Arabidopsis thaliana: one gene and its partner. The protein of the gene in region 1 interacts with the protein of each later gene in a pairwise test. Each region holds a gene or a part of one and is shown in the gene's direction. Other genes may lie near its edges.

Region 1 (5,285 bases):
AGTCTTCTCGTCTTTGATAGTGAATTGCTCATCTAGCTTTCTTAATCTTAGACTTGGTCAATGTTTTGGCTTTTCTCATACTAAACCAATTAATACATAAAATATTTAATTTATTTTCTATTACAATTATCTAGATATTTTTAGCTACACGTGATTGAAACGTGTCTCAAGCTACACCAACGCTCTTCCTCACAAACTGAATTCGTCGTCGATAGTGGTTGCTCTTGCTATCTTGATGTTTACTTCGTCTGATCGTTGAACTGGCCCGCTGCAACATTCTGAGTGTTCCAAGTGATTATTCTAGTTGTGCGTAACACCGTAACAGTAAAAATGAGCTAAGGAAAGCGAGATGCAAGGGAGAACCAACAGAAGCATAAGTTTTTCCTCTGTTATTACTAATGGAAAAAAACTTTCTTTTTCATTTTCTAATTCCTTGTCAGATTTCTCAGCTTCTCTTCTTTTTGTTTTGTGTAAGACTTGGTCGGAGTCTTAGATTACGCTGATGATTAAAAACTACTAAAAAAGAAAAAAAAAAGAATATTACGCAAATGTTCTCGATGCATTGACCAAGTCCTCTTCTGGTTCTGGCTCCATTTTCACATGCAGGCCCATAACCAATTTTAACGAGATTTGTTGCATGAAAAGCCGATTGTTTTTCCTTGGCAGTAACGAAAAAAAATTAGTTACTTTTTAAAAACTAGGGTTTTGAATAATATCATTAAAATCAAATAGAACGAACTAGGGTTTTGGCATCATACACCGCCTCATTCAATTATTAACAAAGCTGAGTCTTCTTCACGGAGAAATCACGGCTGAGCTAGGTCTCATATACCTTGCATCAATATCTTGGGCCTTTACTAGGATCGGAGATACATCAAACATAAAATACTTCTCGGTTTTATTTTCTCTTTCCTTATGTATATGTGAATGCCTTTAAAAATTTTGATTGCCTTTTTTCTCGTTTTGGAATAGTCATGAGAAGCTGAGAACCAAAAAGGAAATATTTCTCACCTTTGCAACTAGCTAGATGGAGCTTATGGATGCAAAATTCGTTTTAAAACACATTGTATTCGGATGATGTCAAAATATTTCACATTCATATAGCAAATTCATGTTTATATATTCCGATATTAACTTTAAATATTAAAACTTATATGCTGTAGATTCATATCCGGGTGAAAACACGAAAGGACTTATGATGGAACCATTATATGGAACGACGTCATGTGGAATATCAAGTTATTTAACTTCTCGCGAGTAAGACTATAAAAAGTAATAGAATAATTAGTAACTAACAATATCAGATAACGATAGGCAGATGATTTGGTAATACTATTTTAGTATCACTACATCACAATAACCATACTAGCATATACGATATACAAATTAATAAATTATCGTGCTTAAAACAAAAACCTATTATCAACCAATAATTTCTTCGCATCAGTGGCGACAATTTTTTCAGCCCCAGAATGATTCTTTGAAGAATAGTCAACAAAGATTCCTAATTTCAACAATTCTGTTCAAGGAAAAGTACGAAACAAATTCTACTGCTAGCTAGTTTCTCTCATGTATATCTAAATTCTATTACTAGTAATTAAGATCTTTGAAATCATGCCAACTGCTACATTTATTTTCTCTTGAAAATCCCAACTACCTTTTTTTTGATCAAAAAAAAAAAAGACTTTAGAGTTCAAAGCTTGAATTTAGAGTTATTATGTTTTAAATTTTGACAGTTTTGATAATTTTCTTCATTTTAAAATGATTTTATATTTTCCGTAATTTTTTTCTATATTTCATATATTAAAAAAATAAGTAATGGATTAGTAGCTAAACACAAGAAGTTGGACAAGACCCGACAATTTAATACGAGACGCGTTGACCTTGACCTTGACTTTTCGTCAGCACAAAACGTTATCTACGGTAGTCACTGAGAGAGAACAAACAATCAAATTTGTTTCATATATCACTCAAAGCTTGATGAGAAGAAACACAGATCAAGAAAGCCCAATTATGTCTTATTACTCCTCTTTCTTCTTCCTTTTCCTCTTCTCCTTTCTCACGAGTTTCAGAGTTTCTGCTCAAGATCCCACTTACGTATACCACACCTGTCAAAATACGGCAAATTACACAAGTAACAGCACTTACAACAACAATCTCAAGACCCTTTTGGCTTCTCTTTCTTCCCGCAACGCTTCCTACTCCACCGGATTCCAAAACGCCACCGTCGGCCAAGCTCCAGACAGAGTCACCGGACTTTTCAACTGCCGTGGAGATGTCTCAACGGAAGTTTGCCGTAGATGCGTCTCCTTTGCCGTCAACGACACCTTAACTCGGTGTCCTAACCAGAAAGAAGCCACACTTTATTACGATGAGTGTGTACTTAGATACTCTAACCAGAATATTCTCTCGACACTAATAACCACCGGTGGAGTTATCTTGGTTAACACCCGGAATGTGACATCTAACCAACTAGACCTGTTAAGTGATTTGGTTTTGCCTACTCTGAACCAAGCCGCCACCGTAGCCTTGAACAGTTCCAAAAAATTCGGTACGAGAAAAAACAATTTTACTGCGTTGCAGAGTTTCTATGGACTGGTTCAGTGCACACCTGATCTCACGAGACAAGACTGTTCGCGTTGTCTCCAACTGGTCATCAATCAAATACCTACTGACAGAATTGGTGCAAGAATTATTAATCCGAGCTGTACTTCAAGATACGAGATCTACGCGTTTTACACCGAATCCGCCGTTCCACCACCACCACCACCACCGTCAATTTCTACTCCTCCAGTTTCAGCTCCTCCGCGATCTGGTCAGAGCTCTGTTTTTTTCCTCTGTTTTTTTTTTTTGCCCTGATTTCTTGAAATTGGCAAAACCAATATAGAGAGTTTTCTTCTATCTGATTTTTAAGCAAATAATCTTTGAAATGCAGGAAAAGATGGGAATTCAAAGGTGTTAGTGATAGCCATTGTTGTGCCTATTATAGTGGCTGTTCTGCTTTTTATAGCTGGTTATTGTTTCCTTACAAGAAGGGCAAGGAAGAGTTATTACACACCATCTGCATTTGCTGGTAAAGATTTCAAGTGATAAACGATCTTTAATGTCAATGCTCAGCTTGTTTTTCCTGCTTCAAAGACTTTCATTGTGTAACAGGAGATGATATCACAACAGCAGACTCACTACAGCTTGATTATAGAACAATTCAAACTGCAACAGATGATTTTGTAGAGAGTAATAAGATTGGTCAAGGTGGATTTGGTGAGGTTTACAAGGTAAATTATAGTTCCCTTGAGCTGTGTTTTTTTTTTCTTGAAATTTTAAGCCAACACTTTTGGATAATGGGATGATGCTGATGAAAACAACAGGGTACTTTATCGGATGGGACTGAAGTTGCGGTGAAGCGACTATCAAAGTCATCAGGACAAGGTGAAGTAGAGTTCAAGAACGAGGTTGTTCTTGTTGCAAAGCTACAACATAGAAATCTGGTTAGACTTCTTGGGTTTTGTCTAGACGGAGAAGAAAGAGTACTGGTCTACGAGTATGTGCCCAACAAAAGTCTTGATTACTTCCTCTTTGGTTAGTTGCATTTAATGCTTTGTTTCAATGATTCTTGATACTTGGGGTTACGAATGTTTAGAGATCTCATTGTGATTTATGGATGTGGACAGACCCTGCAAAGAAAGGCCAGCTGGATTGGACTCGACGATACAAGATTATCGGTGGAGTTGCTCGAGGGATTCTGTATCTTCATCAAGACTCACGACTCACAATCATACACCGTGACCTCAAAGCCAGTAACATTCTCTTGGACGCGGATATGAATCCTAAAATTGCAGATTTTGGAATGGCTAGGATCTTTGGATTGGACCAAACCGAAGAGAACACAAGCAGAATAGTTGGTACCTAGTAAGTCTTCCTCATAACTTCTCATAAGTTGAAGTTTTCTGAACATTCTTTTGTTAACATAGTTTTTGTTGTGGGTTTATAAGTTGAAGTTTTCTGAACATCCTTTGGTTAACATAGTTTTTGTTGTGGGTTACAGTGGTTACATGTCTCCCGAGTATGCAATGCATGGTCAGTACTCAATGAAATCTGATGTCTATAGCTTCGGAGTGTTAGTTCTTGAGATTATAAGTGGCAAGAAGAATAGCAGCTTCTACCAAACAGATGGTGCACATGACTTGGTCTCATATGTAAGTTTTAAACCTATCAAGTTCCATATTTACCTGAACATAGTTGCAAGTGTTGATTGATTGAATAATATTCTAGGCTTGGGGGCTTTGGAGTAACGGGCGACCATTAGAACTCGTGGATCCAGCTATTGTAGAAAATTGCCAAAGGAATGAAGTTGTTCGATGTGTCCATATCGGTCTTTTATGTGTTCAAGAAGATCCTGCTGAGCGTCCGACGTTGTCAACCATTGTTCTGATGCTCACTAGTAACACTGTGACTTTACCCGTGCCACGGCAACCCGGTCTTTTCTTTCAGAGTAGAATTGGAAAAGACCCGCTTGATACAGATACAACGAGCAAATCTCTTCTAGGGTCTGTTGACGATGCATCCATCACAGATATACATCCTCGATGATGATGAGTTTTTCCCTTCATACCTGATTCCTGAATCTATTGGTGTTGAAAATAAGTTAAAAACTTCTTTTGTTATAGAATGTTTGTATTGTAATTGTAACCACAAGCAAGTATAAGATATATACCATTTACACGTTTCTCCATGAAGACGTAACAGTGACTTTTCCCTCCAAATTAAGCTTACACAACGATCTAGCAGGTAATTTGATTCAGCATGAAGAGAGTAAAACCAGTAATCGAGAAACGATTCTTAAAGAACTGTGAACTGTTCATAAGCATTTTACAGTGGACACTGTACAACATACAATTACAGATAAACCTGCTATGTTTCTTATGTCCGTGGACAAATAATATAAATGTCATCTGACCATTTTTCTGTTACAACTTTTAAGCTATGATGAGGAACCACATCAATTTTTACGAACTAAATGAGGAAGACTTGCTTGTATACTGATCAGACTCTGATCCTTCAGATACCAGTTTCAGTTGCCTGCTTCGTGGGAAAAATCCCGGTAGGCGAGGCACTGGTAGAGTAATTGTGTTACTAGTCAGCATTAAGATGATTGTTGATAACATTGGACGGTCTTCTGGATTTTCTTGAACACATAACAGCGCGATATGGATGCACCTAGTGACTTCATTACTCTGATAATTCCTTCCAAAAGTTGGATCCACCAGCTCTAATGGTGACTTGTT
Region 2 (5,776 bases), on another chromosome or scaffold:
GTATAAATCAATAAACAATTGGTAAAAATTTAAACTAAAATTCATAGAACATTGATTTGGAAGTTTTGATAACAGGGGAAAAGTTGTGACAATATGGTGGAGTTGGTAACAGAAATAAGGGTTTGGGGACAATCAATCATTGTGGTTTGTATGATAATTTCGTGTTGTCCTATTGGACCTGGGGTTGATAAACCATCGAGTCCAACAAGAACACAACATATGTACATATGTTTGGTGTATGCAAAATGTTGTCTTTTCAAATTTTCAGAAAAGATTGTTAAAAAATATAAATGCGTCTGCCGGGAGTCGAACCCGGGTCTATTGCTTGGAAGGCAATTATCCTAACCGTTGGACTACAGACGCTTTTGCATATCGAGCAAATAAACTATATATACATATAAACTTTGGATGTTGAGGTTAAAGTGAGAAAGATTTTAAAATACATATATATAGATATAATCTATATATATATTTTTGCATCCATTTTGTGAAATAAATCCTGGAGTTGAAACTTATTTACAATGGCTGTCACTGGCTTTTAATTATTAGTTTTTTCAGCAATAAATTGATTAACAAACGAAAAACATTCCAAATATATTTCAATCCCATATATCACGCAGATTTTTCCAAAATTTGAACTAGATTTCAGCAACTATTTAAAACAAAAAATGTTTGACAACCCAAAAGACAATTGCAATCCCTTAAAATGAGCAAACGCAACTAAATACATTTCTTATCAATTCACTAAATCTTATTTCTCCAAAATTTGAACTAGATTTCGACAACTATTTAAAACAAAATTTTGTTTGACAAACTAAAACACAATCGCAATCCATAAAATATTTATTTTAATTATAAATTTCAACTAGCGGGGTACCGCGGTTTTTTTTTACAGGACGGGTTTGGCAGAACGGGTTTGGAAGGACGTTACTTAATAACAATTGTAAACTATAAAATAAAAATATTTTATAGATAGAGATAATTTGCAAAATTTTATATATACTAGTTTAAATAAAAAAAATTATCTCCGCGGTGTACCGCGGGTTAAAATCTAGTCTATATATACATTTTTGCAACTATTTTGTGAAATAAATCTTGTAGTTGAGAATTATTTACAATGATTGCCACTGGATTTTAATATTTGTTTTTGATAATTAGAAAAAAAATCTTCGAATTAAATATTTGACATTTAATAAATTTTTTTAAAATCTCTTTACATTAACTACACGATTGGTTACTAAAATAAAACTTTCAAAATATTTAATATCATTTAATTACTACAAAATTATCATTATTGATATTGTTTTTCTTCATGACTATTACAATTCAATTATAATCATCAAACCGCAGAGATATTTGATAACATTTAATTACTACAAAATTACAAAATATTTAGACAATGATTCATAAACATATGATAAAGAAGATCAACATTAATAAAATAAATGAGCTTTTTTTACGGGATGGGTTGGCGGGACGAGTTTGGCAGGACGAGTTTGGCAGGACGAGTTTGGCAGGACGAGTTTGGCAGGACGTTACTTAATAACAATTCTAAACTATAAAATAAAAATATTTTATAGATAGTTACATAGATTGTTACAAATTACAAACTTTTATATATACTAATTTTAAAATATAAATTGTCCCTACGGTATATCGCGGGTGAAAATCTAGTATTATTATTATTAACCGAAAGAAATTTCTTTCAATTTTAAAAATTCTGTCAGTTATAATGAAAATGTAAAACTGTAATAAGGATTTAATATACATATTAACATGTTATATTGATATGTTATTACTATTATCCAATTTGCTTTTTCTATTACTGTTTGTTGGATGTATTGAAAATTTAAGATTGTCTCCAAAATCGATTATTTTGAAATTATATATAAAAAATAAGATTTAAGAGATTTGTTTCCAAAATATTTTGAATTCTCCATTTATTTTCATATTCTATCATATATTTTTTAAAGAAAATAATCAAGATATACACATTTTATAACTTCATAAATCGTTTGACACAGAAGAGAATCGATAAACTATAAATCTGCAATGTTTAATATTATTACGAAATGCTTTTAGGTAAAAGATGATATGATAGCAAGTGTGTTTTTTGGACTTATAAAAGTGAGTAGCACCTAGTGGGGGGAGAGAGAGAGAAAGAGAAACAAAGAGAGCGATAAAGAGATGGGTGGAGAAGAGAGATCAGGAGATGGAGAAAAAAGAGGGGAAGAAGTAGTTGATGCTGGTTCTCTCTTCGTCCTTAAATCCAAAGGTACGTTTTATTAATTATGAAATCTATGAAACTTAACGTATACTATTATAACCCATTTGAAGAAGATATGATGATGATGATGATGGAAACTAGGGACATGGTGGCACTGCGGATTCCACTTGACGACGTCTATAGTGGCGCCTGCGCTACTGAGTCTACCGTACGCCTTCAAGTTCTTAGGATGGGCTGCCGGGATATCTTGTCTGGTCGGAGGAGCAGCCGTTACTTTCTACTCGTACACTCTTCTTTCTCTTACTCTCGAACACCACGCTTCTCTCGGCAACCGTTACCTCCGCTTCCGTGACATGGCTCATCACATCCTCAGTAATTCTTTTTCTTTTTACATTTGCTCTTTCCTATAATCAAAGCTGCGACAAATTTACCTTAAGAGAATTTCATTCAAGATTGAGATGTATAGTTGTACGTAGACATACGTGTCTATATGAACTTCTATACGTAATAATTGACACACGGCCGGTACCACTCCAATAATTTCATCCACGCAATAAAGGAAGGTACATGTCCTACGTAATAATTTGTTTGAACAAAAAAAAAAGTTAATTTTTGTGTGAAAACGCGAGATGGAATACTTATAATCACGTTTGCTATTACGAACAACGGAATTTTATAAGAAACCAAGTAAACATTGGTATGAGCTCAACTTTTGTTCGTGGTTGGTTAATATCACAATATATGTATTGTGTAAACCTATGATTTTTAAAAAAATACTTTTCTATACTGTTTGGTCTTGTTTCGAATTATAAGAAGAAAAAAAACTAATCATATGGAATTCATATTATAGTGAATTTTTTGATATGGCTTGCTTCGGTTCAATTTTGTTGGGATCCGGATCGAAGTGTTGACCATTCCACATTTCCACTCATACCACTGTTAAGTTTCAACTTTTTCATGCGTTAGATAGCTGTCTCTTTCCGTGTCTTGTTTCATTTTTGATGCAGAAATTTGTCTTTCAAAACTAATTTCAATTTTTAAAAATATGTGCGTGTCAGAAGAGTATTCATAAAACGTTGGTGCCGACCAAAATTTAATCTTATATAAGTAAAGTTGGATAGGTTCGATCTGCTTTCAAAAGTAGAATATTCTAAATTTCAGATCCTACATAGGATTCGATCCAAATTAGGATAGTTACGCTTTGACTGTCGACTACCAAGGAAATCCACATGTCAACAAAACTTTTAAGACAAAATTTAACGTATTTATCTATGCAAAAACTACAAAATGATGAGAAAAAATTGATTGAAATTTTTTATCTTACTGGATAATTCTGTTTTAGTAGCTAATATGAAACTAAATCCATTATGCATCGAATCATCGATTTGGATTTTAGTTTTCATTAGAGTACACCGCTAATCTGAAGGATTTATAGGAATTCGATTTAGCCCACTTTTTCGGGACTGTATACAACTTTAATTAGGATAAGGTAAAGTATAATACAGGTTCCGAATGTTTGATTAGTTAAGATCAGTTTGGTTTTCCTCTTAACAATTATTGGGGTGTGTTTGATAAGGTCCGAAATGGGGAAGGTACTACGTTGGACCAATACAAATGGCGGTGTGCTATGGTGTGGTTATTGCCAATGCGCTCTTGGGAGGGCAATGCCTAAAGGCAATGTACTTGGTAGTGCAGCCAAATGGGGAAATGAAACTCTTTGAGTTTGTGATTATTTTTGGATGCTTACTTTTGGTTTTGGCACAATTCCCATCCTTTCACTCTCTACGATACATCAACTCACTGTCTCTCCTCCTCTGCCTCCTCTACAGTGCTTCTGCCGCTGCTGCATCCATCTACATTGGTACTCTTCTTTACTAAACCACTTTACTCTTAATTCTTAAACCTTTTATATTGTTACATTTAAAAGGTGAGTTTTCTGTTAAATATCAGGAAAAGAACCAAATGCACCAGAGAAGGACTATACTATAGTTGGTGATCCAGAAACTAGAGTGTTTGGAATCTTTAATGCTATGGCTATTATTGCTACTACATACGGCAATGGCATTATACCTGAAATTCAGGTTTCATTTTGTTTCCATTCTTTGTTTAGAACACCACTTTAATATTTATTCATCAAAAACAAAAGGGCAGTCACATGATCGACTCAGTTATATATATAGAGTATTTGATATATGAATACTATCTTCTTGCAACGCAGGCAACAATATCGGCACCAGTGAAAGGAAAAATGATGAAAGGGTTGTGTATGTGTTACCTTGTAGTAATAATGACATTTTTCACAGTAGCCATCACAGGATATTGGGCATTCGGTAAAAAAGCCAATGGACTTATCTTCACCAATTTCTTAAATGCCGAGACAAACCATTACTTTGTCCCTACTTGGTTTATTTTTCTCGTCAATCTCTTCACTGTCCTTCAACTTTCGGCCGTTGCTGTGGTAAATACAATTTTTTTTTAACGTTTTTCTTTCACATATATACATTGTTATTATTTTATTTTATTTTCGTCACATATATACATTGTTACTAATTTTGAGTTATGCAGGTATACCTACAACCTATAAACGATATTTTGGAAAGTGTGATCAGCGATCCAACAAAGAAAGAATTCTCTATCCGCAATGTCATCCCTCGACTAGTTGTGCGTTCCCTCTTCGTCGTGATGGCTACAATCGTTGCGGCAATGCTTCCATTTTTTGGAGATGTAAACTCCTTGTTAGGCGCTTTCGGTTTTATACCTCTAGACTTCGTTCTTCCTGTAGTTTTCTTCAACTTTACTTTCAAGCCGTCTAAAAAAAGTTTCATTTTTTGGATCAACACTGTGATCGCCGTGGTTTTTTCGTGTTTAGGGGTGATTGCTATGGTAGCGGCGGTTAGACAGATTATAATAGATGCCAATACGTATAAGTTGTTTGCGGATGTATAAAAGAACATGCAAAGCAAAGTGAGATTGTTATTTCTATATTTAAGAATAAGCCTTTTTTTTTCTTAGAAAAATGTTTATGATTATAAATTTGGAAAATAATATTCAAATTTTGATAACAATATTTTTACATAATTTAAATTAATTAATTTTGAATGAAATAAATACAGATGAAATAAATATCTAGAAAATTGATAAATCACAGTACAGGCCTGGAATATGAGCATTTGAAACCCAACGCAAAACAATTCCTAGAAACGGAAGCCCAAAAGTTGGGGGCTATAATTAAACCGGATTTAAAAAATCGGTTTGATTGGTTACCCACACAAAAATCTGGTTCAGGATTTTAGACTCGTTTTCAATTTCAAGCGTGTTTGGTTCGCCGGCAGAGAGACATAACCAAACAAATAGGGTTTAAGCTCTACTAAAATGGCGACGACGTTGAATCGAATCCTGAAGCATAGATCAGTCTCTGCTCTCAACAAGCATCATCAAGGACTCTTCTCCCTCACTCGATACGAGAATCATGACTCTCTCCCTTCTCAAATGCCAGCTCTTCGATCAACCACCCGTTCTTTCCTCGATTTTTATAAGGTAGGAAATTCT

What was found.
Region 2: the proteins of CRK10 (region 1) and AT1G08230 interact in a protein complementation assay, tested with the Arabidopsis thaliana proteins (one large-scale study listed by BioGRID).

What each region holds. Positions count from the first base shown.
Region 1 is NC_003075.7:12,136,191-12,141,475, forward strand, and holds CRK10 (cysteine-rich RLK (RECEPTOR-like protein kinase) 10), read left to right. Parts: upstream 1-1,804; 5' UTR 1,805-1,980; coding exon 1,981-2,815; intron 2,816-2,935; coding exon 2,936-3,073; intron 3,074-3,156; coding exon 3,157-3,275; intron 3,276-3,368; coding exon 3,369-3,579; intron 3,580-3,671; coding exon 3,672-3,909; coding exon of another isoform or gene 3,910-3,910; exon of another isoform or gene 3,911-4,041; intron 4,042-4,045; coding exon 4,046-4,196; coding exon of another isoform or gene 4,197-4,256; exon of another isoform or gene 4,257-4,272; coding exon 4,273-4,590; 3' UTR 4,591-4,732; downstream 4,733-5,285. Other genes in the region: CRK11 (cysteine-rich RLK (RECEPTOR-like protein kinase) 11), read right to left, coding at 5,007-5,285.
Region 2 is NC_003070.9:2,583,112-2,588,887, reverse strand, and holds AT1G08230 (Transmembrane amino acid transporter family protein), read left to right. Parts: upstream 1-1,918; 5' UTR 1,919-2,187; coding exon 2,188-2,275; exon of another isoform or gene 2,276-2,368; coding exon 2,369-2,599; exon of another isoform or gene 2,600-3,803; coding exon 3,804-4,088; intron 4,089-4,177; coding exon 4,178-4,308; intron 4,309-4,445; coding exon 4,446-4,685; intron 4,686-4,792; coding exon 4,793-5,173; 3' UTR 5,174-5,244; downstream 5,245-5,776. Other genes in the region: AT1G08220 (ATPase complex subunit), read left to right, coding at 5,600-5,764. UniProt on the Arabidopsis thaliana protein: High affinity gamma-aminobutyric acid (GABA) transporter probably involved in GABA uptake into cells.